Coturnix japonica: one gene and its partner. The protein of the gene in region 1 interacts with the protein of each later gene in a pairwise test. Links are inferred from orthologs where the notes say so. Each region holds a gene or a part of one and is shown on either strand. Other genes may lie near its edges. The genes, in order: BCL11A and NR2E1.

Region 1 (3,805 bases):
ATTAGCACGTGCAGTGCTGCACAGGCTGGGGAATAGCACTGTGCTGCTCTGTTTTGTTTCGGCAAGCCTACAGTGGTGGGGGCTGTACACGGCGCTGGGGGCTGTACGCTGTACACGCTGTACACGCAGTGCTGAGCTATTGTCGTGCAAACTCAGGGAAAAAAAAAAAACAGGCAAAGAGAAAAAGAAAGACGAGTCTACCTTGTTAGAGCATCCTCTGATGATTATGTGGACAGAAATAGCCTCATAATGAAGCTTTTTGGAGCTCATTCAGAAAATTTGTCAACTTTGACAACATTAGCTGAGGTATTTCGATCTCACAGAAAGCACCTCTCTGCTGTTAAGAACGGTGGCATTTGCTTGGCCACACTGGTTGGTGTACGGTGAAAGGCCACCGGTACTAACACAGTGCAGAGAATTTAGGCATGCCTTTATTTCAGGATGAAAAAGGAAAAATTACTAATTGCCTCACGTCTTTGAGTGCTGTACCATGTCCTATGTGGTTGATATCTCTGGGTGGAATTGTTGGTGAATTTGGAATTTATTTGAACCTCGAGGAGCAGCTGGATAGCGAGAGGATCCTCCTCCCACCCCGCAGGAATTTTGACTGCACTTGATTTTTATCAGTTCCTTCTCTGCTGTTTCTTTATTTTCTCCCTCTTTTTCTTTCCATGAGCGGCTGCTGCTTTTTTCAGTGTGCAAATTATGAGCCACCAAAGTGGGCAGTGGCACACGGGCACACACGCACCTGCATGGGGAGAGCCCCATCTCTCTGCCTTCCCTCTGCTCCTGCTTGTAGTGCTTGTGCTGCCTGCATGTTGCACACACAGGGTGTGTGCTGGAACCTTTCCTCTGCATGCACACGTGTCATTCATGAGCAAAAATTTTACAAAGTGGGTCTGGCTCTGGGAAATACCCCCCTGTGTGTGTGTGTGCGCGCGTGCAATGCTTTCAGCCTTGAATTCATGTACATAAATAATACATCTGGTGATAAAGCACAGTATTCACTTGTTTTCCTAGCACCACCGCAGCTTTGCAGCACATTCTCATAGGCTGTTCATTTGATTTTACCAGTAAATCGTTAAATCGAGTCAGAAATCTGTCCTCATCCACAGGAGCAGATACAGTGGCAGGGTTCTACAGGCTGCGGCTGCTCCTGCACAGTGTGTTCTTGGTGGCCAGTGAATTTGATTCCTATTGCAGTGGTGATGGTTACGGGGCACTTCTTTGCTGGGGGTGAGGGGGCACACAGCAATGCTCATGGCTGGGAGCTTCCCGTTTGCCCCTGTGCCCGGTGCTCATTACCAGAGTTCTAATGTGTCTCTTTTGTTTCTCCAAACACAGCTGAACCTCTTGAAGCCATTCTCACCGACGATGAACCTGACCATAGCACGTTGGGAGCTCCAGAAGGGGACCACGACCTCCTCACCTGTGGCCAGTGTCAGATGAACTTCCCGCTGGGAGACATCTTGGTTTTTATAGAGCACAAACGGAAACAATGCAATGGCAGTCTCTGCTTAGAGAAGGCTGTGGATAAGCCACCCTCACCCTCACCAAGTGAGCTGAAAAAAGCATCCAATCCCGTGGAGGTTGGCATCCAGGTTACACCAGAGGATGATGATTGTTTGTCAACGTCATCGAGAGGAATTTGCCCGAAACAGGAACACATAGCAGGTAAATTAAAATGAGGAGAAGTGTTTGTGAGCTTATTTCTGTTCCAGTTGCGTGTCCGCGGTCTCACGCAGTGGAGTCTTGTGCCTGGCTGTGCTCCTGGTGGCTGCGCAGAGGCAGAGCGGCAGGCGTGTGTAGCGCAGCCCAGTGTGTCTGGCGGCACTGTGTGCAGCTGCACTCACATCGAGCTGTGCCGTAGTCGCCGTCGCGCTGCAGGAGGAGGTCTGGCCCTCTGCATGTGCAGGGAAGGAGCTGTTGAGCCGTGGGTAGAGCTGGCAGTGAAGGAGTTAAGTGAGCATCAGCCAGCCTAGGTTCCCATATTGGCTGTCAGCGTATGGACTGTAATTAAACACAGCCCCATGGCAAAGTGACACCACCGACCTTGACTTTAAGATGCCATTTTCGACTGGCCAGGCCAGAGTAGAGAGGGCAGTTGCTGAAGCGCACAGACATGCTTATTCGAAAAGTTTAAGGGCATGTTGGAAATTTCAAAAGGTTGGTTTGACAGGAAAGGCCGCTCTCTGCAGCCTGCCTCCTCAGCCAAATGATAAATGCCTCTCCGCGCTCACTCTTGTCTCTGATGGTGGTTTTGACAGATGTATCTTGATTTTGTTTGTGATTTACACAACCACATGTCATTCGGACAAATGTCCGAGGCCAGGTTCTGCTTTGTGCAACAATTGGCATGAAGCGTGTTTTTACAATAGGGTAAATAATTCCTTTTCTTAGCACATATATGTATATTTTAACCGGAGAGCCATTTGCTGTGCCAGTATTTTGTAAATAAGGTTAAATAATTCTGTATCCTCAGTTTGCCAGGGATGGATGTTGGGGGGCTTTTTCCGGAGTGGTGCAGTGTAGTGCCCATTTCCACGTGCTGACTGTGACACACAGCAAATGAACACGACAGGAGGCTGTGATTAATTGTGTGGGAGCCCGGTGGAAGGGATTTGTGGTCTTCCTAGAGCTGGAGCCATACTAAATCACCAAATATGGAGGAACGGCGATGTGATGTAACTCTGTATTTACATATTGAGCAGCTCTGCTTCAAAGACAGAATGCAGTATCTGTCAGGCAGGAATTAGGAGCAGTCCTCCGCGTGGTTCCAAATAGGCTGTTCAGGCTGTGAGCTGGGCCGTGGGCATGCTGGGGAACTCCTCAGCACAGGGCCTGGGGATGTAGCCAGTGCCCATCTGGTGTGGGACACGCGTGCTCATGATGCCCAGCAGCAGTGCCTGGGGTCAGCAGTGAGATGCAGGCTCAGGGCTGGGATAGCCATGGACTTAGGGCTGTGGTGTCTCTGCAGTGAGCCTTGGGTGCTTTCTAGCTTTGTATCTGCTTTTTTTCCCGTCTATCAGGAGATAACTGAGTTTACAGGTGTTTTTTTTTTTAAAAAAAAAAAAAGGTTAAAAAAAAGGTAGGAGGCTGCTTTTGGATGCATACTCAGGAATTGAGCAAGCTGATGTTCTCTGGTGAGAGACCAGAAGATGTGCATTTAGCAGCGATGTAAAAGCGCTCCCAGTCAGTTGTTCCTCTGACAGAGGTGCTGGAGGTGGGCTGTGGGTACAGGGCGTGCTTTGTCTGTGGGTTTGTTGTGTTCAGCAAGTCACCTTGAGTGAGTAATGGTTAAGGAGCAGACCATCTGCAGGAGCGAGCTCTGGGCCACTGAACGCGGAATGATGGCTGCTCCAGTGATGGCTGCTCCAACTGGCATGGATGCATTGCAGGCCTCCTGCTTCCAAGGATGGAGTGGTAACAGCACTCCAAGCAGCCTGTACACCCTGAGCACCCCATGGACCCTGTGCATCCATGCAGCCTTAGCACCCTGAGCACCTCGCGTACTCTATGCGACAGGGACGGTGTACACATGTGCGTACCTGGCTGCAGGCGGGTGAGCGCCGCTTTGATGTGATGTAAAATTGGGAGCAGTGCTGATCTGGCTCTGTAGCTGAAATGCCATAAATTTAACTGGGAATTAATAGGATCTGTTGTGTGAGTCCAACGAGGCAGCTTTCATCAATATGTATGTCAAACACTCAGCACCAGATAGCAGCAGGCTGTGATTTGCAGTGAGTGCTGCGGCTGGGGTTTAGCGATCCGGTCTCGTATTTTACAATAGGGGGAAATACTAACT
Region 2 (4,292 bases), about 56 Mb from region 1:
ACACTCTGGGTTTCTCTCGCTTCTGAGGCACCAGCAGAAGAAGAGAGAACAGAGGCTGTGACACAAAACTGAGAGATGTTACCACCACATCCTTGCAGCAACAGCCTGGGATCCAGATACTTTATGGTGTAGGTGTGTGCACTGGCTGCTGGTGTTTTGTACTTCTAAGGAGTTATGAGGAGACAGCATCTTCTGTATCGAGACATCTTCTGAGATGTAGCTTAATAAGGGAGAAAAGGAAAGGAATAATAATAATAATTAATAATAATAATAAAAGAATATAAAAGCCAGTGATGCAGCTGCTCACCACCCACTGACTGGTGTCCAGTGAGTCCCCATGCAACAGTCCCCTCCCATTCACCTCCCCCCCCTGTTAGGATCCAGCACGGCTCCACACAGTACGGACCATCCCCTTGGCCATTCGAGGTCCCTGCCCTCCTTCTGTCCCCTCCTGGTGCTTGTGCACCCCTGGTCCCCCCCCTACGTGGCAGCACGGGGAGCTGAAACGCCCTTGACTGTGCTGCACCGCTCAGCAACAGCCAAAACATCAGTGTGTCATCAGTGTGATTCTCATCAAATCCAAACCATAGCACCACAGCAGCTACTAGGAAGAAAGTTAGTTCTTTTCCAGCTGAAACCAGGATGAGGGGCTGCCGTAGGGCCAGAGATGTGCCCTGTGAGTGCGAGACACACACACAGGGCCAGGTTTGGGTTCTGCTGCTACGCAGTCCCACTTCGGATTGCAAACCGTGCTGACGCGCTCCTCTGCTTTTCTGGTGCTTCAGACTTTGCTCAGGAAGGCAAACCATCAAGGGAGTGACGTCCTGCCCGCATCCCTGTTCTGCCCGTGCTTTTGCTTCTTGCGATCCCCCTGAGCAACGTCCGACGACGTGCAACCACTGCTCTACAACCTTGTCTTGGTCCAAGGTCCCCTCCGAGCCCCGGGTGCGACTGTGGGAGCGCACCCTTATCTCCAGCATCTCGCTTTTTGCTCCCCCTCTCCTTCCCGGGGGAAACCGTGGAGAAAATGCGGGAGAAACGGGACGGCGATCCCTCCTCGCTCCTCCTATTGTCTCCTATTTTATTTCCCCCCTTCTTTCCCATCTATTTATTCATCTATTTATTTGGGTCGGGGTCGCCGTTAGGGACGGGGGTTGCGGGAGCCGCTCGGATCTTCACGACCACCGTCGGTACCGACCCCCCCCCCTCCATTCCCTCCCTGCCCCCTCCCCGCCCGGTGACGTCACTCGCCGCCGAGATTTGGGGGGGACGCGCGGGAGCGCCGTGGGCGGGGGGCGGCATCTCCCCTCCCCGCAACGCTGTCACCGCGCCGCCGATATTATAGGGCCGAGGGCTGCGGCTCCGAGCGCCGAGTCAGCGGTGTAATGAACTTCTGGAAACCTTTCCCTTTTTCCAGCCTTCACTTTCTGAGAGGCTGAGACTGCCTCCTCTGACGCCTTTTCCCCCTGCCATTCTTTTGCCGGCTCTGATCTCCTGCTCCGCGCGAAGCCCGCTCCATCCCACCTTCCCCTCCGCTCATTGTGCCGCGGCCCCGAGTCCCGCCGGCAGCGCTCCGCCACCCCCGCACCCTCCCGGGGTCCCGAGCGCTCCAGCTCGCGGGGAGAGCTCCTTCTTCGGCTCATTTCGTTTCTTTATTATTATTTTTGGCCCTTCGGCTCCCGTGTTTTGTCTCGTTTTTTGGTTTGCTCTTTTTCTGTTGTTTTTTTTTCCTTTTCTCCGTCTGTTCCTGCGCCTCGGAAGCACCTCCCGGCGAGGATGTGTCGGCCCCAGCGGGCGAAGCAGCGCTGAGAGGCCGAGGGAGGCACCCACCCGCCCGCCGCAGCCGGGGGGGGCACCGCGCTGCGCCCCGACGGAGCGGCTCCCGGGGCTCCGAGCATGAGCAAGCCGGCGGGATCAACAAGTGGGTAACGGCGCGGCCGGGCTGCTGGGCCCCCCCGAGCCTGGGGGATGGGGTGGGGAAAGAGAAAATGAAGGGCTGGGGGGGGGGGGGGGGGGGGGGGGGGGGGGAGTGAAGTTTGGGTTCGCAATCCCGATAATTAAAAAGAAAACCAAAAGAAAGAAAGAAGGAAAGAAAGAAAGAGTTCGTATTGCACAGGTTGCCCTCCGGAGCGGCAACGAACGGGGGGCTCCGTGCTGAGCGCTGTCCCGCCGCTCCCTCCCCGACCCCTCGGGGATGGGGTGATGGGGCTGCGGGGTTCGGGGCACGCTGCCCCCTCCGCCGGACTTTGAGCAGCCTCCTCCGGCACGACCCTTTTCTTTTATTATTATTGTTATTGTTATTATTTCTGGTCAAAAAAGAGTTCCCAACTCCTACCGCTCGAATCTTGTAAGCGGCTCCGCCGAAGGAGGATTTAACAGCGGCACCGCGCACGGCATTTCCCGTTACACCGAATAATCCCGCAACGGGGAAAGCAGAAACAACGGAAAAGTCACATTTTCCTTAATCCTAAATCCGTGCTCCTCATAAGTGGGGAATTTAAAGCCGCCCGAGCGCCGCCGCACAGCGGCTCCGTCAGAGTAATCCCAACGGGACCTTCGGAGTTGGCAATATGGATGGAGTCGGTGACAAAGGGGGAAAAAATACCCAATCCAATTTAATGTCTGACAAGTGATGGCTCGGACGTTTATTTCCTCCGCGCTCCGGCATCGAAAGAAGCCGGGGGCGGGAGGGGGCCGCGGGGGGACGGGACCGCGGCCTTCCCTCGCCGCTGCCCCTCCGTTGCCCTCAGCCGGGGCCGAGAGGCTGCGGCCGACGGCGGCCCTCGGTGCGGAAAGCGGGCTGGAGCTGCCCGGTGGGGAAAGCGGGAGGGCCGGAAACCTCTGCACCGAAGGGGACGTATTGCGGAGAAGGAGCCCGCGGGGCCGCTGAGCCCCTCTGCTCCCTGCCGGGCCTTCCCGAGGGCTCCGAACCCTCGGCCTCCCCCCTCCCCCCCATCAGGGGATGGGGACGAGCGGGGACGGGAGTCCGAGCCGCGTTCCCTGGCCCGGCGACCGCCCGCTGAGCGCTGGGGGCTCCCGGCAGAGCGGAGGGGGGGGGACTCGGCCGGGCTGTGCTGCGGGTCCGCCTGGGTGGCAGCGAGCCCCAGTCCCTCCGGGCCGGGCTAACTTCTTTCAACAGCCCCTGATGGTAATTACAGTAATCGGGGCTGCCATCTATCCTTTAAGCAATTATGACAAGCACAAAAAAGCTCCCGAGGACCCCCCGTCGCGGGATGGTCACAACGGTTTCCCGGCTGAACCGAGAATGAGAAACCCCGTTTCCTTAGCGCTAAACTTCTGGGACGGAGCCGTTCTTCGGGAGCCGAGGAGCTTCGAAACAAGAGTTTCCCGTCCATCTCCCGACCCCGCGTTACCGTTTGCCGTTTTCCCGTCTCTCGTTCCGAGTTTTCCCACCGCCGTGATTGCGGCGGGGCACGGGAGATCGCGGCCGTGATTGCGGCGGGCGCGGAGCGGAGCGGGGAGCGGCGGAGATGAGATCTCGGGAGGAGCAGATGTGTGCGTGGTACATCAGCCCTCTATGGTGTATATAAGCGTGTGTGTGTGCGTGTGTATTTTTTATAGATCTGGGAAATGCGTCTGACTATTATTATTATTTATTTATATTATTATTATTATTATTATTGTTATCATTATTTTTTAAGCAGCCGCCAGCCTTAAAACCCGCCTGGGGAGAAGCACGCTGTGTAAGCGGCCCAAGTTCCCCTCTGCCACTCTCCGTGTCCCCTCGGCTCTCCGCTGAGCTCTGTCCGGGGCTCCCGGCCCCCACGGGTTGGGGTGTGCGCGGGGTGCTCCGAGTCTTCACCTCCCCCCCAAAAAACCGGGGCACTCCTCCTCCTTTGTGTGTGTGTGTGTGTGTGTGTACGCGGATCGTCGCCCCGCGGATGCGGAGGGCCGCAGGGGGAAGTGGAGCGCTCTCCCCCGTCGGCATTGTGCGCCATCCGAATTCCCATGCTACACTTTTTGACGGGTCACTGGTGTCCCAATGGGCAGGTGGCGAGGGGAACTTGTAATTACGCGCTCCCAGAGGCCGAGCCTCGGCCCCGGCCCTCCCCACGGGCGCTACCTGCAGCTCCGGGCCGCGGCCTGCGGCGGGCGGCAGACAGGGGGGGTTAGAGGGGGGGGCGGCCGTACTTGTTATTAATTGCGGAAAAGTTTTGAATGCTTTCACCTCTCCCTCCCGCCCGCCCCTCCCCGCGCGGTGCCGGCCCTAATCCCCGTCCCTCCGCCGCGCTGTGTGCAGCAGCTGTCGGCTCTCATTTGGGGAGAAGCTG

Evidence for each region.
Region 2: the proteins of BCL11A (region 1) and NR2E1 interact in a two-hybrid assay, tested with the Homo sapiens proteins (2 studies listed by BioGRID). The link is inferred for Coturnix japonica from reciprocal best matches to the Homo sapiens genes BCL11A and NR2E1.

What each region holds. Positions count from the first base shown.
Region 1 is NC_029518.1:5,618,738-5,622,542, forward strand, and holds part of BCL11A (B-cell lymphoma/leukemia 11A), read left to right. Parts: intron 1-982; exon of another isoform or gene 983-1,208; coding exon of another isoform or gene 1,209-1,236; intron 1,237-1,344; coding exon 1,345-1,674; intron 1,675-3,805. UniProt on the Homo sapiens protein: Transcription factor. Associated with the BAF SWI/SNF chromatin remodeling complex. Binds to the 5'-TGACCA-3' sequence motif in regulatory regions of target genes, including a distal promoter of the HBG1 hemoglobin subunit gamma-1 gene.
Region 2 is NC_029518.1:61,370,385-61,374,676, reverse strand, and holds the start of NR2E1 (nuclear receptor subfamily 2 group E member 1), read left to right. Parts: upstream 1-1,311; 5' UTR 1,312-1,896; coding exon 1,897-1,921; intron 1,922-4,292. UniProt on the Homo sapiens protein: Orphan receptor that binds DNA as a monomer to hormone response elements (HRE) containing an extended core motif half-site sequence 5'-AAGGTCA-3' in which the 5' flanking nucleotides participate in determining receptor specificity.